2 linked regions of the Nothobranchius furzeri genome follow. The protein of the gene in region 1 interacts with the protein of each later gene in a pairwise test. Links are inferred from orthologs where the notes say so. Each region holds a gene or a part of one and is shown on either strand. Other genes may lie near its edges.

Region 1 (4,160 bases):
TATTCATTGTTTCTTTTAATGGTTTGTAATATGGGATAAACACATTCACTAATTTTTTATATAGTAAAGTCAGATGTAAGACTTCACTTTAACTCTAGCAAAACCTTGTGAGGCTTCATATCTACCACTTTTTCAACTCTGAACTGCTGTAATAACCCAACATTCCCTCCAATCTGACAGCCAATCAAAACAACGGAAGACTTGCTATTTGCCCAGGAACAGAACAGGTTGCTTGCTTTTGCCACTGCCACGTCACCTCCCGTGTGTCAGGTTATCAAAGCAATAGCGAAAAGTTTCACTTAACGCAGTCGTTTGTTGCCTCTGTGTGTCGAGTCCATAAGTCATACTCTAGGGGGAAAGCTCCAGTGCACCATTTCCAGGAACTAGAAGTGAGCCACATCACTGCTGAGTTTCAGACGGCACGTTTTGGAGTCTTATTTCCTGATTTTTGGATATCATGACCGGATTAGATAACAGCAACGTGGCTACCACTAACTTGCAAAACTGATGTTTTATCTCCACAAATAACACAAATTTGAAGGAGTTCTGCTGTGTGGTGGAGTTACTAATGCTAACAGTTAGCTTCTACTAGCCAAGCCATTTTTTGCCCTTTCCTGGACGTTAAAACCAACAACCTTCCCTGTCACGAGTCATGGTGGGTGGGTCCATGAATGTTGTGTCAGTTTGACGTAGATCTGTCAGGCTTTTCAAATCCTATTTTCCATCAGAAGCTAATGCAGAAGATAGGTGTAAATACCATTTCCATGTTCAGCCTGCAAGAAAAACTCAGACTGACCAATTATCATCAAAAATAACAGGGCTTTACCTGCGTTCAAATTTGCGTGGCGGCCGACTCCAGCTAATTTTGTGCCGCCCCAGCCTGATTTCACTCTGCCCCCAGCTATATGGATGTTATTGTAACTGCAGTTGCAGCATTGCGCCACTACAGGGGCGCTGTATCAGCAGCGGTGCACTGAAACGCGCTAAAACCACTGCAGAAAATGATCAAAAATAGCTTTTCTCGCTAGTTGGTACATATCTATGTTTGGTGCTACTGACGTCCTGATTTTCCCCCAGGCACTTCTTCCCTATCAGAGCAGGGGTGTACAGTGCAACGTAAAACATTGTGTGTGTCTGTCTATTTTTCAATGTAGCGCTGGTGCAACATCTTTGAATTACTATTTACTGCAGAACGTTATTGAACAAAAGTAAGAAAAATGCTTTTCACAGGTGCACAGTGTGATAATCTGGATGCAGTGGAGGAAAATAAAGGAACCAGCAAAGGCACAAAGGCAGAACCGGTCCAAAGTTTGGGATCAAAAGTGCAGCTACATGCAGATTGGCTAATGCTAAAGCTAATGGGTAGCAGTCGCACGATCAAGTGGATATATGATGATCGTAAAACAAAGAAAGACTAAACTCAACAAGTGGATGAAAGGTCCCCACCATCCTGTTTATTCTGCATCCTGCAGCGCTATGGACCAGAACCGCTGCAGATACGAGTTACACAGGAGCAGGATGTAGTGCAAGCCATTGTAGAATATAATTAACAAACGCTTCTATCTTTGAACATAATTTAAATTGGATTATTGCCAACCCGTACATAATAGACATGTTACCATTACATTGTTAGCAGCAGAAAATACAAGTTATTATCATTTCCAACACAAATGCATGTTAATGAAATGCATTATTTTTTACTGGATATATTTATGTGTTATTTTGACTAAGATGAGTGTTATTAAAACAAACCTAAAATGTTACTGAAATGTAGGTCAAGTATTAAAAAATATTTCAACTATAAATATCAGATGGGAAAATGGGAACTAAACACCAATCTAATGCATATTATTGAGCCTTTTATAATAAGAGTCTGTTACTTCAGCCTAAAAATGTTGTTTTATTTCATATTTTGAGCAGCAAACCAGTTTTGTTTCACTTGAGATGTTGTCAAATGGAATATTCTATTAATCAACAGAAGCTTAGATTAGATCACTTAACGAAAATATATTTGCCTTTAAAAAAGTGAGGCAGTTGAATGCACAGAGTATGCATGTGCTGGCGCATGGTCAGGATGGTACCACCTCTGCCTCAATTTGAGCCAGGAAAAGCCCTGAATAAGATTTTAAAAATGTTTTTTTTAATGTTCCACACCATTAAAATGTTCTTCATCTTGCTCTTGGCTGTTCTAACATAAAAGGGAATTCCTGTCCTGTCCAAACAGAATACACACAACTTTGTTGCATTGCCACTAGATTAGAGAATAAATATAAAATGTTGATTGCTGTAAATAAAACTGGATTGTCAACTTTTCCTTCTTAATATTTAGATGACAGAGAAGTTTAGGCCAATGCCAACAAGATACAGGGAGGGAAAAAGTGTCTGTCAACTATGACTGCAAATAAACCCTTACAGGAAATTTAGAAAAGTGTTTCGATCTTACCATGCCTATCGAAAACATTCCAGGGCTGGCTCACATGGCGTGATGACTCTCTCTTTCCCCCCTTAATAAAGGCTGGCAAACTGGGTCTCCTTTGGTCCCCTGCAAACTTCCCCGGCTGCTGCCCCATAAGGCCAGGGTGCCAGGCTGCAGCCGGGACTCTCCAAGCCAGTATCACTTGCTCACCCTCCAGCAAATGGGCTCCGGGCAGGAAAAAGTTCAGGAGAAATCAGGAGGCCTGTTCCCCGACTTGGACAGTCCCCACTAAAAAATGGGTGATTCAAGTCTGTTGGACGGATCTCTCCAGGATGTCCCTGTGTATCATGCATTTATAGATTCTGGGCCCTTCAGATGACAAGATGTTTGACAGGAGTCTAGGGGAAAAATAATGGATGACTCAATGATTAATTCAAAACGATTAAAACCCACAAATTATTCAAGCAATTGACATTCAAAATCATTCTCCACGGGCTAGTCAAGCATCCCTCATATATTGAACTGTAGTTTTATCTGCTGTAGTGAAACACCATCCTTCAAAAATGTATTCATATTTTGACAATTAAATGATTCTGTGTACAAATGAGTGTAAAATTATAAAAACCAACAAAGCTGTTCTATAAGTATTCGATTTGATGGGTTCCACTTCCAATATTGTTTTTAGACATGTCTGAACAGGAAAGGGATCACTTGGTACACGTGTATTGATTTACTGTGACTATTCAAACAAGAGTCAACCCAATAAAAACAATGCCAGCACAATTCCATCCACAGCATAAGAGTCACTGACAAAGTCAAGGATCACCTAAATCATGGGTGTTTCCTTCTCGTTCTATTAGTCAATTATCATCATTTTTATCACACAGACAACTTTAAAAACATTACCACACTCTGGTTATATTATTTCTATACTGATCTGAAGTAAATCGGTGAGATTTTTTATTAAAAAGATTTATATCCCAAGGAAGGGATTAATCAGGGGGCTAGATTTTATTTTCCGAAGTCAGAAATGTCAATAACTAGCCCTGCTGTTAAAAGGACAGATTTTTAACACTCGTTTAACTTGAATTCTTATAAGAGTGTAAAAAGACGAAAAAGCAAACTTACACGAGCAGAAAAACTGCGAAATATCTGGTTAGCCGGCGACCTCCAGCTAACGTTGAAGATAGCCATGAAGCTAACCGACGTCTGCTGGTGGTATGCACATCGGCTCGAGTCAACAGTTGGCTCGCGCTGGTTCTCCGCTAATATCCTCGGACAATTGTACCAAAATGTCTCCCAAAAAGCACATGGAAAACATATTTTCCCATGTTGCAACCAATCTCAACAAAAATCACAAGTTTCTTTTAAACTTCCGCGTCCACTTTTCCCATCTTTTGGAGCGTCTCCCCCTCTGGAAGTCGAACTAGACTTTAACCAAGAAGACGAAGAGAAGTTGAGGGAACTCTTCCGGGCCGGACACAAACGCCTCCTTTTGCAAATTATTTCTTCTGTTTACAGCTTCTGAACTCTTCTTTGCGCTGTCCTCTATTTGCGTATTTATTCATCGCTTTCACGTGAAAAGCGAAGTAAACTTTGGCCAAGTAGCAGCAGCACTGTCGCCGAGGCCACCATACTTCCATACGCAAGGTGGTTTACAGAAAAATGTGGGTGGAGCCACGTATGACGTAGAGAGTGCGTGGGCTAGTGCGGATGAGGGGAGAACGAGAACAGGGCAGAAGTA
Region 2 (3,977 bases), on another chromosome or scaffold:
GCTCACCATCAGGGGCGAATCAAAAGTGATACAGGAGGAAAGGTAGGACAGTTTGTCTCTTTCTGAAATGTTGGCTGGAAGGAAAGGCAGGTGGGCAGAGAGAAGCCTCTGTTTACCAACCTCCAGACCTGTAACGTTCAAAATCAAAACCCTAATGAAGTGGTTATTTGTAAAAAACGAAGACTGAACAGAGAACTACAGCCTGGCAATTACAGGAGGTGTATAAATATTGCATTAGAACAACCATTTACCAAAGTCTGCATATGGGTAAGTTACCACCTCTGGCTTGTAGTGTTGGTTGGAATCTGAAACAAAATCAGACTAATTATAAAAATGTGACTAACAGATGCCCCGTTTTTATTTGTTGTTAAGGAGGCTCAGTAAAGATAAGGAGGAGCACCATCACAATCACTCTTCTTCTTATCACTGTGTCAAACATCCTTAATCTCATTAAATTCCCTTGACCCAGAAACATCTCGTTCCACATCCCTTCAAAACAAAATGCTCTTCTACAGTTTCTGACTCCGCTTAACCAACCAAAGACATTTGTTTAGCGGCGCTCACCGAGGCTTTGTAAGTAGCGAGTCAAGCACCGTTCCTGCTTTGCACTGGTGATGATTACCTGGGGCTTAACCTCCTCAATGACTGAAGATTAAACAACATTTGACGTACATTACAGTCAAATAACAGAACAAAGGAAAAGTAAAGCTTGGTGAGTGTGATGTTTCTATTGGAAGTAAGTGAATAATTTACCTCTGGCCAACAGGTGAAGATCGTGGTTGTCAGGAGTGTCAGCCATGTAGTGTAGAGAGGAGTCCTCGCTGTCGTAAAAGCAGAGACCCACCTGCCCATGATGCACCAAAACACTCAACAAAACCTGGAAACAAACACGTTAATTATAAAGTTTTAATGCTAATTTTGAAAGCATCTAGAAATCCACTGGTATCTGCAGCCATTTTACCACATATATGTCAGTTTCTTCCTCTTCATCCTCATTCCTGCCAGGGCCACCATAAACCATCACTCTCCCTCCTTCTCTTGAATGTTCTTGAGCTGCTGCCATAATTCTACACAGAATGGTTCATTAAAAGTGATATTAGGCTCATTTTTGAGTAGTTTATCTGGTCCTCTAGTGAATGTTAAAACGTTTTATCACTACTGACTAGATTGGGCTCTGTGTTGCTGTCAAATGTGTTGTTTGTAGTAGTGTAAGCCGAAAAAGTAATCATTTCTATCAGAACTACATCCCACTGCTTCCACCAGTCTGTAACCCTCAAAAACCAACTGATCCTCAGAGAGTCGAAAGCTGTGGGTTGTAATCGGGTCACAGTTCAGTTCTGATAAAAATGATTATTTTTCGTAGTCTACCTAGCTAAAACAATCCACAATGGCAGGATATTCCTCGCACGTCGTTAATTCGTTCCTCGCCCACCACAACCAACGGGTACTCCTCGCCACTTTAGCGACTTTGTAGTCCCTCCAACTTTTCTTTTGAAAATTAAATACAAGAAACAAAATACAATATGGGCAGGACATTTAAGACATACCAAAACAAAAATATAGTAAATCAGACATATTCAAACTAAAAATAACAGTAGTAAAATACTCATTTGCATTATTTACTCTTCTGAGGCCATTAAAGCTACAGAAAAAGGTTAATCTATTCTTTGGACATCCTCTTGGGTAACCAAACACTGCCATGTGAACTGTTTAGAGAACCTTTAATGATTTACAACCTGATTTTTAATCATTTTTCCTCCTTTTTATTATTATCCTTTAAAATTAATTTTTATTGTTTACTGTGCCTTGAGATTTTATCTAGAGAGGCGCCATATAAAATCTTTCTTCTTCCTTAAAGCACGATGTATGCGTTATAATCTACTATGATACAAATTATTAACATAGTAAAACCTGATACTAATTTGTAAGCCAGTGGTTCCCAAACTTTTCAGCTTCAGACTCCCAAATAGAGCCTAACTAGTCAGACACATTTACATAAGGCTCATGTGTCCCCGGAAATAAGAAAAAATGAATGCAAGTCAATGAGGCTATTAAAATTAGTTTAAATTTGGGGAAATTACCGTTACATCGTGTATACTTATCAAACCTTTAAATATATGTTATCTCAGCATCGGTTATGGACAGATTAAGAGTGGTCCTAACATAGATATCATGTATATTAACTATGGGTCCTAAACCCCAACCGTAGGAAAGTACGCCATTTTCTAAGTCACATATGCTACACCGGAAGTAGCGCTGAAAGAGGTTGAACTTCATATCTGACGTTTAAGTAAACCTAAAAAATCCGAAAACTAGTCTTATTTTGTTATTTAGTTTTAATAACTCATTACCTACACTTTAATTGTTGTTAAAAAAAGTAACTTCATTATTAAGTGAACGTCGCAGCAGTTAGCTAGTTGATGCTAGGTGAATGACATACGCTAGTCTAATTTAGCAAGATATATTATAAATATATATTTATTGCAGTATCAGACTACATAACATGTACTTACATAATTAGTTGGGACTTTAGTAGCGACACCTACATCTCATACATACTTTTTATTTTATAACAGCTTGCATTGGGAGATTAGCTCAACTTACTATAAATGTGCAGCTTGCCACGTGCCTTGTTTCAGCCCTCTGTTTCCATGGCAACGGGACCATCCGACTAAGTGAGTAAGCTTGGGAAAGCCCAATGAGAATGATATACATATAGTTTTACATAGCTTTACTTTTATGTTGACAAAATGAGCTTGGGAGCTCATATATGGGTAGTTAAGTGCATTTATCCTAATATTGATGCAGTCCACCACCACCCCCCCCCCCCCCCTTTTATTTTTGTTTACAGGTAAATTCACCATCCACAGCTGCATAATTGACAAAATTACAGTCAGGTGATCAAATTCAAATAATTATTTGCATCAACAGATATGACTATTAACACAAATAATGAATTATGTGAGTACCTTTTCCGAGCTATACAATGTCAGTAGCCTGTAGTGTTTTGTAAACAAACAGCAAAACAATGAAATTGCAAAAACATATTTTATTATAAATTTAGGAAACATATTGCTTACACAGTAAGGAATTTGCAAATGCATTCAAAACGTTATCAAAATACCATGCATCACAAACAAAAGATACAACTAAAGAAATAGTTTTTTGAAAATGTCATATTTATATCAAATCAACCAGAAATGCCTTATTTGGCTTTAATGCTGTAAACGCTAAAGCATGCTGATTGCACGTGAATGTTCATGAAAATTAGAAACAAGAAAGCAGGTAACGCTGGAGGAAAGGTGGAAGAGGCAATTTTTCAGCTTGGTCCTGTCGTTGCTGTCCTAAATGCTGACAAATTGACAGTCCACATAAAGCCATCAGGGCTGGAGGATTACCTAAGAAAAAATGGACAAATGTTAAGTATTAAAGCATTTTTAAATTATACAGTTTATTTTAGTTGGTGATACTCACTTGTGGTGCCGTTAAGATAGCGCAATCGTATGCTGGCTCCTCCTCTCACACTGCTTATTGCTGGGAAGAGTTCTACTCCACTAGGAAGGTCCCTAAAAGCTACGCCAAGGAAGCTTCCATCAACAAAATACCCCAGAGTCCCTGCATCTGCATCCAGGACCAGCAGGACACGCTCGGGAATGAGAAGAGGGCCTTCTGCCTCCTTTGTGGAATGTGAATTAGAAGATTGTGGTCTGAAATTGTTTGCAGCCCCAGAGCGACACCTTCTACTTTTATCTGGGTAGCACTCCAGAGTTTGCCCACCGTGCCAGAGCTGATTGGTCTTAAGCTCCCATCCCCAGGAACGTGAGTCTCCTCCCACCAGAACTTTATAACCAGAGTCGTGCAAAGGACATTCCTGCCTTGAGATCCCTATGGCTGCATGACTTCCTCTGTGTTTGAGGCTCCACGTTAGCTCCCACACATGAAGCCCACTCCTCACCCCCATCTCTGCCCTCGCTCCA

The links. The genes of interacting proteins can lie anywhere in the genome.
Region 2: the proteins of abl1 (region 1) and msh5 interact in binary tests that used the Homo sapiens proteins (3 or more experiments, as listed by UniProt). The link is inferred for Nothobranchius furzeri from reciprocal best matches to the Homo sapiens genes ABL1 and MSH5.

The regions. Positions count from the first base shown.
Region 1 is NC_091746.1:53,653,094-53,657,253, reverse strand, and holds the start of abl1 (tyrosine-protein kinase ABL1), read right to left. Parts: upstream 2,801-4,160; 5' UTR 2,571-2,800; coding exon 2,444-2,570; intron 1-2,443. UniProt on the Homo sapiens protein: Non-receptor tyrosine-protein kinase that plays a role in many key processes linked to cell growth and survival such as cytoskeleton remodeling in response to extracellular stimuli, cell motility and adhesion, receptor endocytosis, autophagy, DNA damage response and apoptosis.
Region 2 is NC_091745.1:79,204,597-79,208,573, forward strand, and holds the start of msh5 (mutS protein homolog 5), read right to left. Parts: upstream 2,801-3,977; 5' UTR 2,605-2,800; exon of another isoform or gene 2,514-2,604; intron 1,068-2,513; 5' UTR 1,064-1,067; coding exon 962-1,063; intron 878-961; coding exon 754-877; intron 646-753; coding exon 565-645; intron 306-564; coding exon 252-305; intron 129-251; coding exon 7-128; intron 1-6. Other genes in the region: SPRY domain-containing SOCS box protein 1, read right to left, coding at 3,268-3,398, 3,475-3,977.